Linked DNA regions of Ovis aries. Each later gene encodes a partner of the first gene's protein in a complex. Links are inferred from orthologs where the notes say so. Each region holds a gene or a part of one and is shown in the gene's direction. Other genes may lie near its edges. The genes, in order: INTS6, INTS7 and INTS12.

What was found.
Region 2: INTS6 (region 1) and INTS7 share a complex: the UniProt entries of both Homo sapiens proteins name them as parts of the integrator complex. The link is inferred for Ovis aries from reciprocal best matches to the Homo sapiens genes INTS6 and INTS7.
Region 3: INTS6 (region 1) and INTS12 share a complex: the UniProt entries of both Homo sapiens proteins name them as parts of the integrator complex. The link is inferred for Ovis aries from reciprocal best matches to the Homo sapiens genes INTS6 and INTS12.

The regions. Positions count from the first base shown.
Region 1 is NC_056063.1:21,148,321-21,152,753, reverse strand, and holds part of INTS6 (integrator complex subunit 6), read left to right. Parts: coding exon 1-180; intron 181-2,331; coding exon 2,332-2,458; intron 2,459-3,227; coding exon 3,228-3,370; intron 3,371-3,575; coding exon 3,576-3,807; intron 3,808-4,433. UniProt on the Homo sapiens protein: Component of the integrator complex, a multiprotein complex that terminates RNA polymerase II (Pol II) transcription in the promoter-proximal region of genes.
Region 2 is NC_056065.1:70,997,388-71,001,820, forward strand, and holds part of INTS7 (integrator complex subunit 7), read left to right. Parts: intron 1-2,301; coding exon 2,302-2,436; intron 2,437-3,769; coding exon 3,770-3,867; intron 3,868-4,433. UniProt on the Homo sapiens protein: Component of the integrator complex, a multiprotein complex that terminates RNA polymerase II (Pol II) transcription in the promoter-proximal region of genes.
Region 3 is NC_056059.1:19,866,079-19,869,853, forward strand, and holds the end of INTS12 (integrator complex subunit 12), read left to right. Parts: intron 1-2,182; coding exon 2,183-2,767; 3' UTR 2,768-2,870; downstream 2,871-3,775. UniProt on the Homo sapiens protein: Component of the integrator complex, a multiprotein complex that terminates RNA polymerase II (Pol II) transcription in the promoter-proximal region of genes.

The DNA.
Region 1 (4,433 bases):
GGCAAAAAAGTAGTACAGGAAACTGGAATTAAAGTCCGAAGCAGATCACATGGTTTATCAATGGCTTATAGGAAAGATTTTCAACAGCTGCTCCAGGGAATTTCAGAGGATGTTCCTCACAGACTGCTGGACCTTAATATGAAAGAATACACTGGGTTCCAGGTTGCTTTGCTCAATAAGGTAATAGTTAAGTGAATTTTGTACTGCTCTAGTAATAGTCTATATTGTCAAATATGTAAAATTTTCTATTAACTGATACCCAGTTTGTCCAAACTTCTATACCTCTGCAGAATAATGATCAATTATGCTATTAATATTATTGAATCATTGAATTTTAAAACACTGTACATGGTGAGTGGATTAGCAGATGGACTGATGAAGAGCAAACCATCATGTTCATTTTATAGATAGAAAACAGACTTAGAGATTGCCTGAAGTTACATAGCTAATAGTAGAATTCACTGTAGTTTGGTACTTATACTACTGACCTTGGCTACACAGTATAATCCTGAAATGCTTTATGAATCTCATTATTAAAAAGATCTTCATCCTAGTTGCCTGTTTGTCACAACTGACAGACTGGTTCTAAAATTTATATGGAGGTATATAGGTCCTAGAGTAGCTGAAACAATTTTGCGAAAGAACAAAGCTGAAAAACTTGCACTGTCTAATTTTAAAAGTTACTATGAAGCTACAGTGATAACATATGTGTTGCTGGAAAAATATTTGGTCGGTGGGACAGAAGTAGACCTTCATATATAGAGTTAATTTTTAACAAAGATGGCCAGAATAATTTAGTGGGTAAGAAGACAGTCTTTTCAACAGATAGGGTGGGAACAGTTAGCTATCCATCTGCAAAACAATGAACTTGATCCTTATATTAGTTAATGTGATCATAGTTATAAATGTAAGAACTGAAACTATAAACTTCTATAGGAAAAATATCTATAAGATGTTGGATCTTGGGTCAATGAAGATTTCTAAAATACAACACAAAAAGCACATACACATAACTTCATAAACTGAACTTTAGTAAAATTATAATTTTTGTCTTCAGAAGAAACTTTGAAGTTTCTCCCAGACAAGCTACAGCCTAGGAGAAAAGCATATGTTGAGTAAAGAACTTGTATGAAAATATATAAAGAAATCCTGCTGCTGCTGCTAAGTTGCTTCAGTCCTGTCCGAGTCTGTCCGACCCCAGAGACGGCAGCCCACCAGGCTCCCCCGTCCCTGGGATTCTCCAGGCAAGAACACTAAGACTCGGTTATAAAAAGATAAGCATCCAAAAAAAAATACACAAAATATTTGAGTAGACACCTTACCAGGTAGGATATACAGACCTGAACAAGCACACGAAAAGATGTTCAACATTATTAGTCAAGTGGGGAAATGCAAATTAAAACCACAGTGAGATACCACTTTATGCCCACTACTGAACTGAGAATGGCTAAAATTTAAGACTGAAAAATATGAAATGTTGGTAAGGTTATAGAACAGCTGCAACTCTTACACATTGTTGATGAAAATTATCAAGTTAATCTGCAGTTTCTTAGGAAAGGTAAATGTTGCTATATACCAACAGTTCTACTTGTAGGTATCTACTGAGATAAATGAAAATATGTGTGTGTAAAGGGCTTGTATGCAAATATTCGTAGCAGCATTAGTAATTGCCCCAAACTGAAAACAGTCCAAGTGTTCATCAACTGGTGAATGAATAAAGATATAGTATATCCATGTAAAAAGGAAAAGACAGTAAAAAGGAATAAACTACCAATACATGGACAACATGGATGAATCTCAAAAACATGCTTGTGGAAAGACGCCAGATAGAAAAGATTACATATTGCAGGATTCCATTTATGAAATGGGATGTAGAGAGACAGAAAGCAGATTAGTGGTTGCGGGGATAGGAATTGCGAGTGACTGCCAAGTGGGCACATGGACCCTTGTGAAGTGATGGGGATGTTCTAAAACTGATGCTAGTGATGGTTTCACAACTGAACATTTACTAGCGCTCAAACTGTTTATGTAAAATGGGTTGTAAATGGTATGTAAATTACACATAAAAGCTTTTATTTACTTCTGTTAGCCAGAATACATAATGAAATCTTGGACAGATGTGAATTTGAGATAATTCGGTTGAGCTTCACTTCACTATCTTTTGGTTATTACAACAGTACATTACGATGGTATCATATCTCTTTATTCTATTTTTCTAAGCTAATTAGTTGACTTGTATATCTTATTTTCAAAGCTGTGCTGCAGGCTAGAGATTGTAGTCTCTTAATTCTGTTTCAAAATACATTTTGTCTTTGAATCTTTTTAAAACAGGATTTGAAGCCACAGACGTTTAGAAATGCATATGACATACCAAGACGGAATCTTTTGGATCACTTAACAAGAATGAGATCTAATCTTTTGAAGAGCACCCGCAGATTTCTTAAAGGACAGGATGAAGGTTAGATCATGGTTTTAATATTGGTGTTTCTTCAGTAAACTTTTCTTTATATTGAAAATACAGAGTGTTATTGTAACTTTTAAAGAGTTGACTGTAATATTACACTCTCATTGAATGAAAGTGAATTCTACCATCACTGTTGCCCCGAATTCTGTTCTCCAGAGGAAACAACCTTTGGTAATAGCTTAGTTTCCTTATGGCTTTCTTCATACATTCACATACACAGGCACACACAAAATCATTTTCTTGTGATCTACTAGTATCTGATAGGTTAACTTGGAATGGCCAATATATGTCATATTCTAGTATTTCCTTAACTATACCTTTGGCACCTACAAATCAAGTCAGATGAGAACTTAACCCTTTGCCAACTCTACATTTCAACTACAGTTTTATATGAAAAGGATCATCTCTGTGATACTCTTTTCTGTAAATTATGCTTTAACTAAATTCTGCTTTGGAGTAGAATAGAAGAGACATTTTCATAGAAGGGTTACACATACTGTTTATTCTATATACTGAAACTAACTGCAATATTTTTGCTTTGTTTAGAAGATAAAATTGATTATTTAAAATTTTATTAAAAAGCACTCAAGATTTTGTCACAATATTTATAATGGCAACAAACTAATTTAGAATATATGGTAAGGAAAAGTTGCCTAGAATAGACCAGGTTGCATTCATACATAAGAACACATTATTTGTTAACTAAATGGAAGGTAGTTTTAGTGAAGTTAACTTTTATTATTGCTTTGTTCTGTTTGAAAAGATCAAGTGCACAGTGTTCCTATAGCACAAATGGGGAATTACCAGGAATACCTCAAGCAAGTACCTTCTCCATTAAGAGAACTTGATCCTGATCAGCCTCGGAGGTTGCATACATTTGGCAACCCCTTTAAGCTGGATAAAAAGGTAAATTTGAAGTGTTTCATTATATAATTTTTTTTTGTGGGAGGCACAGTAGATTTAACAGTTCTTAATTTAACTAAAGTAAGCCGAAACTATTTTCTTGGTAGGATACAATGTCAGCATCGTTAAAATGTACTTTAATGGGAATTGGAGTTTGTCGTACAACTGAAAACCATATGTAAAGTCAGGAAATTCTTCGTTGTTACAGGGTATGATGATAGATGAGGCAGATGAACTTGTGGCTGGGCCTCAAAATAAACATAAACGACCTGGAGAACCAAGTATGCAAGGTATCCCTAAGAGACGGCGCTGCATGTCTCCACTGCTGCGGGGCCGGCAGCAGAGCCCAGTTGTGAACAACCACATCGGGGGGAAAGGACCACCGGCACCTATGACCCAAGCACAGCCAGACCTCATTAAACCCCTTCCTCTTCATAAAAGTAAGGGTTTTTCTTTAAACAGTATTTGCTGCTTTTAGTTTGGTTCTTCATGGGAGAGAGTTTTCTGATATAGAAAAAGTGGATAAAGTTCCAAGAGTGTCTAGAGAAGATATTTGTTTATTCCAAATTATCATGTAATCATTTTTTATGTCTTTTTAATGAACATTTCATATATTCATTCATTATGCTTAATAGCTATCATGATTTGAAATATCATTTGCAAATCTTTAGCGTTTAGAAATGACAGTTTTTAAAGGGGCATTATCAATACCCACAGAAAGATGGTTTTCAATTTGTTTAATTCGGCAACTAATTATTAAATGAGATGCTTAATTTAGACAGGGTTAGGCATTGAGATGTAGCTATAAACAGATAATAGTGATCTCTGCCTTCATTTATAATGAGGGAAGAAAGTCATCACACATTTCCTTAGAAGTGTGATGAATATTACAAAAAGGGAAGTCAAGTATACTTGTTGTGGAAGTATTTGGCAAGAGGATTTAACTTAGTCTGTGGGGTCAAGGACGGAGGAGCCTGGTAGGCTGCAGTCCATGGGGTCGCTAGGAGTCGTACATGACTGAGCGACTTCACTTTCGCTCAGTAAAAAATACTCCACACAGTAATGT
Region 2 (4,433 bases), on another chromosome or scaffold:
AGAAACATGCAAATTAAAGCAACACTGAAATATTTTTCTAATCCATCAGTTTGGCAAAGATCCAGAAGTTTGATAATATGTTGACAAGGGGGTGGCTAATCAAAAGCTACTCTCATTCACTGCTGGTGGGAATGTAAATTGTTAAACTTCAGCATAGGTAATTTGGAAGTACTCATCAAAATTATAAGTGAAAAACATAGAGAAATTCCACTTCTTGGAATTTATCCTACTAATTTAGTCTCACATTTGAAAAATGATATGTACATGGTTATTCATAGCATCATTAATGTAGTAGCAAAATATTGTCCATCATTGGAGATGGAGTAGCATAAGAAGGTCCATCAATAGGGAACTCATTAAAGAAATTAAGATACAAAACTGCAGTAGCAATCGGTGCAGCTTACTAAAAAGAATATATGGCATGGAATAACCTCCATGACATAATGTCTGGGGGAAATAAAGCAGGATGCGCAGCAGTGTTTAAAACAGGAAAAAAGAAAGGATTGTGCTTACAAATGTGTAGACTCTTTAGAATGATACACAAGAGATATAACCTTAGGTGTTTGAGGAAGACTTTTCACTCAGTAACTTTTTACCTTTTTCCTACTATTGGTTGAACTTTTCGAACCAAGTAAATTATCTTACAAAATTATTTCTAAATAAAAAAACTAAAAATAATAATTTTATCCCTGAAACAATTGACACAGAAAAATGCTCACAAATATTATATTTTAAAGGCAGAATATTGACAGTATCTACTTATCCTGATTATGAATTTTAAAGTTATAATTGTATGCATAGGGAAAAGATTTTTAAGTACTACAGAAAGCTAATAATAAGGTTATGCTGGTTTGTGAGTTTAGAGGCTTTTTTATTTCCTGTTTTTTTTCCCCCAAGTTTTCTTTGACATCTCAGTGAGAAAAAAAAAGGAAAAAACAAGTTAAAAACATTTGTGAATTTATAGATGAGTTGTCATTGTCCATATTACATGTACAAGGGAAAAAATGGAGAAAATTACAATTTCCATTGTTTTGTGAAAAAAAATCCTTTCACATGTTTTGCCTATCAGAAAAACACTGAGGCCTTACCTACGCTAGTAGTTTCATGTTAAACTGGAAATCAGTAAGGTGACCATATGTCCCAGACTACCTGGGATAGTCTTGGTTTATGCCTGTTGTTATTAGTAATAGTGTCCCCTTCAAACCTCAAAAAGGGTGATTGCCCTCAGTGTAAAAGGTTATAGTTGATAGGAATCATGGAAAAATAAACAGGGCAAAGAAAGACAGGAATGAAAGACCCTGCTGAGAAGCTGAATTAGCTTTAATCTTCAGATTCTTCTTGATGCTAAACTCACCTATAACTGAGAGCTTCTCTGCTATAAATAAAAACATTCACAGCATAAACCTTATGTTACAGAATTTCAAGTGTGATTTTTAACTGTAGGATAGAACTTAACGTATAAAGCACAAAGCTGGTGCATAACTAACAAGTTTATATGACCTCGGTGGCAAGATGCTTAAGATCTTTAGGCTTCAATTTCTTCTGTAAAAATAGTATTGAATCAGAAGATCTCCAAGTCCTTGGTAGCTCTAAAATTATAAATTCTTACATAAACCTTTTGCAGTATAACTACATGCCAGCAATTGAGCAAACTTAAAATTTTTGTTTCTCTTTTCTCCTCTTGAATGGAAGGTTTTTAATCTGGCAAGAAGCCTTGTAATGATTCTGTTTTAATGAGAATCCGTTTGAATGCCCAAGATACAGTCTTGGCTTTTGGTGTGTTTCTTAGTCAATTTTTATTAATATTTCAGTGGGGGGAGCCTGGAAAATCCCATGGACAGAGGAGCCTGGAAGGCTGCAGTCCATGGGGTCGCTGAGGGTCGGACACGACTGAGCGACTTCCCTTTCACTTTTCACTTTCCTGCATTGGAGAAGGAAATGGCAACCCACTCCAGTGTTCTTGTCTGGAGAATCCCAGGGATGGGGAGCCTGGTGGGCTGCTGTCTGTGGGGTCGCACAGAGTCGGACATGGTTGAAGCGACTTAGCAGCAGCAGCAGTATTATGTTAATTTTAGATCTTAATCATTAGAAAACTATTTAGTATATACTTATTCTAAGTATGTGAACAGGAGAAAAAGGGATGGTTTTGTATATTGAGCATAGGGTTGAGGTAGAAAATTTTGTTGAAATTCATTGTTAGAGATTTTCTTTTGAAAATGATAAAAAATGAACCTATAAAATGAACTGCTTTTGAACTGTGTAAATTAATTAAATCTGCCCTACTTTTCTTTGCTTGCTTAGGAAATGTGGCTTCGTCCCCTAGATCCTCTGATTTAGTCAAATTAGCCCAAGAGTGCTGTTACCATAATAACAGGGGCATTGCAGCTCATGGAGTGAGAGTCCTAACTAATATAACTGTATCTTGTCAAGAAAAAGGTAAGTTTGATCAAGACTGATACTATGTATGAACTTTCAGATTGGAGTTTCACCAGAGTCCTGTTTGTATTTCATTTTTTAATCCCTTATTATTTTTAGGCTGTGTGCTTTTATCTATTAGTCACCTCCTCCTGAATGTTCTTAGGGCATATTTTCTCAAAACTACCTAATTCTTTGGGAAAACGAAATGAGGATCTTGGGATTGGGAGTGCAGAACTGAAAGGTTTTACGGAGCATTGCCCATCTCCTCCTATGGCTTTACCTTTGCTCGTATGATGCTATGGATAGAGGCTGCTTATAACTATCCAGTGATTATCAGTTTGTTCACTTGTTTAAAAAAAAACTAGAAAATTTAGGGGAGAAAAAGCATACAAAGTTATTGAGAGGCTTAAGTAACAGATAGTTTTCACCTGGGGGAAAATGAATTAACAGAGCAATGTAAGTTAAACTGTCATGGAATTTATCTCTATGTATCTATAGCATTAAATGACTTGCATAGTCAAGAAGGATGTGCATAGAAAATAATGCATATATTTTATTGTATTCTTAACATCTTTTGACCTAAACAAATTCATGCTGGTGTTCAAAAACAGGAATGCGTTCTGGATGTTTCATCTGTTTCAGTGCTTATTTTGATCTTTGTTAAGAATCAGCAGTCCCTCTTATCCCCACTAGGCTTCAGCACTGCTTGTGACTAGTACCTTTGTTTTCCCAGCACCTTGATCTTCACCAGACATTGTTTGCCAAGCTCTTACACTGACTCAAAAGGCATTTAAGTTGTTTGTTCATTCTGATTTCAATAACTCAATTTTTGGCATAGTAATAAGCATCATCTACCATGTAACACAGAAAATTGCTCTGTATTCTCAAAGTTGACATATGTTAATATTAACCTAAATGTGGTTTTATATACACACACACACACACACACACACACACACACACACAGAACTTCAGAGAAATTTTAGCTCAAAAGTAGTGAAAAGATGATATAGTACTGGTATTACATGAGACATCTAGAGGGTTCATTTCTTTATGATCTGACTTAAAACACTAGTAAGATGAAGTGGGATCTTGATTATTTCTAGAAAGCATTTCTACTTCAATGAGAAGGTTGCATCCTAGGTAAAAATGGACCTGCATAATGTTAGGCTAGTTTGGAAGATTTGACACACACCATGTCGATACATGGTTTGCTGTACTTAGTATCTTTCTTAGCTAAGCTGTTTGGTATTTTCTTGTCCTGAATGTTTTTTTCTTCTGTGTGCATCTGTGTGTGTGTGTATGTAATCTTCTCTACTTGACCATTAAAGACACAGTATTTTTCCTCTAGACCTTTTGGCACTGGAACAAGATGCTGTCTTTGGCCTGGAATCCCTTCTGGTGCTTTGTAGTCAAGATGATAGCCCAGGTGCTCAAGCCACTTTAAAGGTAAAAACATCAGCTCTTTTTATATAATGCCTGTTTTCATTGCCAGAAGTGTAGATTGCCAGTCTCTCTGTAAAGGGTCAGATAGTAAATATTTTAAGCTTTGCAGACAATGCACTTTTTGTCACAACTATTCAGTTCTGCTATTATAGGGAAAAAATAGCCATGGACAATTTTTTTTTTTTTTTTTTCAAGAGAAGGGTTAATGGTATGACTATGTTCTGGTAAAATTTTATTTGCATAAACAGGCAGGATTTGGTCCAAGTGCAAGAGTTTGTCAGCCTCTGGCTTAAACAAATATTTGCCCTTGATCTTCACTTTCAAAGCTAGTATTTTGACTGTTATTATTCCGAAAGACAGATGAAGTTAAAATTTGATTTTGGCCTATTTTGCCATCAGTTGAAAGTATTTATTAAGCTGTAATAGATATGTATGATGATCCTAGATAAGGTAAAGCAAAGTTAAACAGACAGAGCTCCTGTACTTTTGCAAGTTTTATAATCTGAGGTAACACTGATAAGGTCACAAAGAACTAATGAAATTACTGAAATAAATGTGTAAGTGTATAT
Region 3 (3,775 bases), on another chromosome or scaffold:
GAGTCGGACACGACTGAGCAACTTCACCACCACCAAGGAAGAGTTGATATCCAAGGGATAGCCCTTATTGTCACATAGAGACTTGGTGAGCTAGAGTAGAAGTAAGAATGATTTATTGAAAATAATTAGAGTTGCTATATTCTATACTTAAATTATTTTCAGATAGATTTTTATACTAACCTATTACTGCTGCTGCTAAGTTGCTTTCGTCGTGTCCAACTCTGTGCGACCCCATAGACGGCAGCCCACCAGGCTCCCCTGTCCCTGGGATTCTCCAGGCAAGAACACTGGAGTGGGTTGCCATTTCCTTGTCCAATGCATGAAAGTGAAAAGTGAAAGTGAAGTCGCTCAGTCGTGTCCAACTCTTTGCGACCCCATGGACTACAGCCTACCAGGCTCCTCTATCCATGGGATTTTCCAGGCAAGAGTACTGGAGTGGGGTACCATCGCCTTCTCCAACCTATTACTACCAAGGCTTATTTTTAGGAAACTCAATATGAAATTATTTTGCAGCAAATAAATTAAGGCTTTGGCTGTCATGTTTGTTCTGATTAAGAGGTTTGATATTTTTATGATAAAATAGAATAAATGTTTAGTATGAAATTCAATAAATTGAAAAGCAATACCAGTAACAGCAAACCATTAAAATAAAATGTCATATACACGGAACTTGCTTTGTACTTCATAAGTTTTGGGTCTTTTTGATTACTTCAGATGGGTTTTCTTTTGTAAAGTTTGTTGAAAGATCATTTAGTCAAATGGCAGGCAGTTTTATATTTATTAGAAAGAAAAGGAAAAAATAACATCTTTTATAATTGAAAATTAAGTTTACTATACCTGTGTCCTTTGCTACCTTGACTAAATTTTTCTCATTAAATATATGCATTTCTCTAGGAATTTGCAGTTTATGTAAAGTTTATCTTCTTTGCATAACCTTATGAGATAGTCATTATATGATGTAACTGTAAAAAATCCTATCACTTTTCACAGTATGTGAAAAATAATCTGGACCTTCCTCTTCTAAAGACCTCAGAGCACTCTATTTTCAGTATTCTTCTCATTGGTTTATAATGTTTCGTGCAGACAACATTGAAGACTACTTTGTAAGAATTAAAAACGTTTTTATCAATTCATTCGGAGTTCAGTTCTAAAATATAATTGGGTGTATTCTAAGCATGATAACTAGCATATTAAGTAAGATACTATTTGTAAGATTTTTATCTTTTACATATTTAACACTTTCGTGACCCATGAAAATAAGATAGAAAAATTCATTTCACAATCAATTTGAACAAAGTGCATTTTCCCCTAAATGTTAATGTGAAAAATATTGTTTTGTATGAAAAAGAACAGTATTTATGTAGTGACATTGGTACTCTGTTAGCTTTTGACTGTCCAAGGAAGTTACTTAGAGAAATGTAATATGTGTTACACCTTTAAGGAATAAATCTGGGAATGAGTCAGGCATACCCAAAATGTCACTATACGGCTTATTGAGGCAGTTTATAAAAAATCCTTTATATTGAAACAGGGACCTCTTTGTGATAGTTTCAGTGGAAACATGGACAAATTGGGAAAATAAAGTTATGAAATGTTTTTAGTATATCACCCGTTGTACAATTTCATGTAGTTAATGCAGTATACTTGTATATATGCAAGTATTTGCTCAAAATTTAGGGGGAATTTTTCTTTTAAATAGGTTCAGAATCTCATCTCAGACATCTAAGTATCCTGGGCATAAGAATTTTTGTCCATTAAGAGTGGATTCTGTTTTTGAATTGATCCACAAGTCATTTGGAGTAGGTCTAAAGAATTAGAAGTTTTACAGCTAAATAATAACCTTTTTGCATGAAAAACAACTTAAAGCATTAAATCTGATTTTCTGATGTGGCTTGTGGCTGAATCTAGAAGCAGTCCTCAAAAAGGAAATTTTTTTCTGAAATGATTAGAATAAGAATATGACATACCATAACTCCTGCTTTGGAAATGGTAGCACCGTTAGCTATGGATAGGTTTTCTTCTATGTGCTTTGTCATATCAGTTTATCAGAACTTAATTTTGATGATTTAAATTTCCAAGATCATTAGTTTTATAAAAAGTCTTAACCATTAATCTTCTTTTGTATTTAAGAATATTAGGTATTAATTATACTTTCCTCTAATATTTATCTTATATTTTTTAGGCATCCACGGTTGTTTCAGGAAATTCTTCTAGCACCAATGTTTCCTCTTCAGCAACTAGTGGCCTAATTGGATGGGCAGCTTTTGCAGCGAAAACCACTTCTGCTGGTCCATCAACAGCAAAATTGAGTTCAGCAGCCCAAAACAATAGCGGGAAACCTGCTACCTCTTCTGCTAACCAGAAGCCCGTGGGTTTGACTGGTCTGGCAACAACATCCAAAGGGGGAATAGGTTCCAAAATAGGTTCCAATAACAGCACTTCACCCACTGTACCATTGAAACCACCTCCACCTCTCACTCTAGGCAAAACTGGCCTTAGTCGCTCAGTTAGTTGTGACAATGTTAGCAAAGTAGGTCTTCCCAGTCCAAGTAGTTTGGTTCCAGGAAGCAGCAGCCAACTCAGTGGGAATGGAAATAGTGGCACATCAGGGCCTAGTGGAAGTACCACTAACAAAACCACTTCTGAATCGAGCACCTCTCCATCGGCATCCCTTAAAGGTCCAACTTCACAAGAATCACAACTCAATGCCATGAAGCGATTACAAATGGTCAAGAAGAAGGCTGCCCAAAAGAAACTCAAGAAGTAATGTGGCCAAGTAGGTTTTTATATCATACTACCCTAAAGATTAAAATCTTATGACGATATAATCTGTAATATACTATAATTTAATAAAAATCTTCATAATGAAATTTCTACTATTTCTTACCTTAAAATGCTAAATAGTATTTAGTGAAACTTAGAAATGTTTATCTTAAATCTGTTTTAACATCTTTATTTTGACAGTTTTCATAGTGTGTGAAAACTGATTAGAATGACTAATTCTTAATAAAAACTTCTGAAATCCCAGAAGACTGGTGCATCTGCAGATTTTAAAAAAAAAAAAAAGCATCTTCTAACAACGTCCCAATAACTGATCTTGCTGAATAGGTGCCTTACAAGAAGACAAGGATGGCCCGATAATAAAGTTTCCCACTCCTCGCCCACCATAGTCTGAATGTTCAGTGTCAGTCCCAGGCTCATTTCAATTGATTCTCCTTCTCCCCCCAAATATTTCAACTTCTTCTTTTCAAAAGTAATTTTTCATGTTCTTGTGTTATGCTTTTATCTTATCACCTCATATCAATTACTTAGGCATTTATCTCTTCCAATCGATGGTGAACCCCATGCCCTTTCAGTGCAATGCTTTTCTCACTTTTCTCTCAGAAATTGTGAGGGATTTCAGTTGTTACCTTATTCTAACAGAAGACATAAGGCTTTCTGGATCAGAGAAATAGTTCATTGTTCACAGCAAAATGTAGCAGTCATTCTATACTTCATGAATACCTCATTTCATTCAGAAACTAGACATCCAGCAAATTCCTACATTCACTAAACTTGAGCAGCCTGTTTCTTCAGCTTTGAGGTATGCTACTAAAACTATAAACTTCTGAACTCAAACTCTTGCCCATAATTCCTATATTTTCCTCACATTATTGTTCTAAAATATATTGGTAAATGCTTTCTGTGAAGTTAAAACATTTTTAAGTAAGCTTGGCCTTTTTTAAGGAAAGACGTTTTAAACTGCTTTGTTAAATAGCAGCACTGAATTCATGGT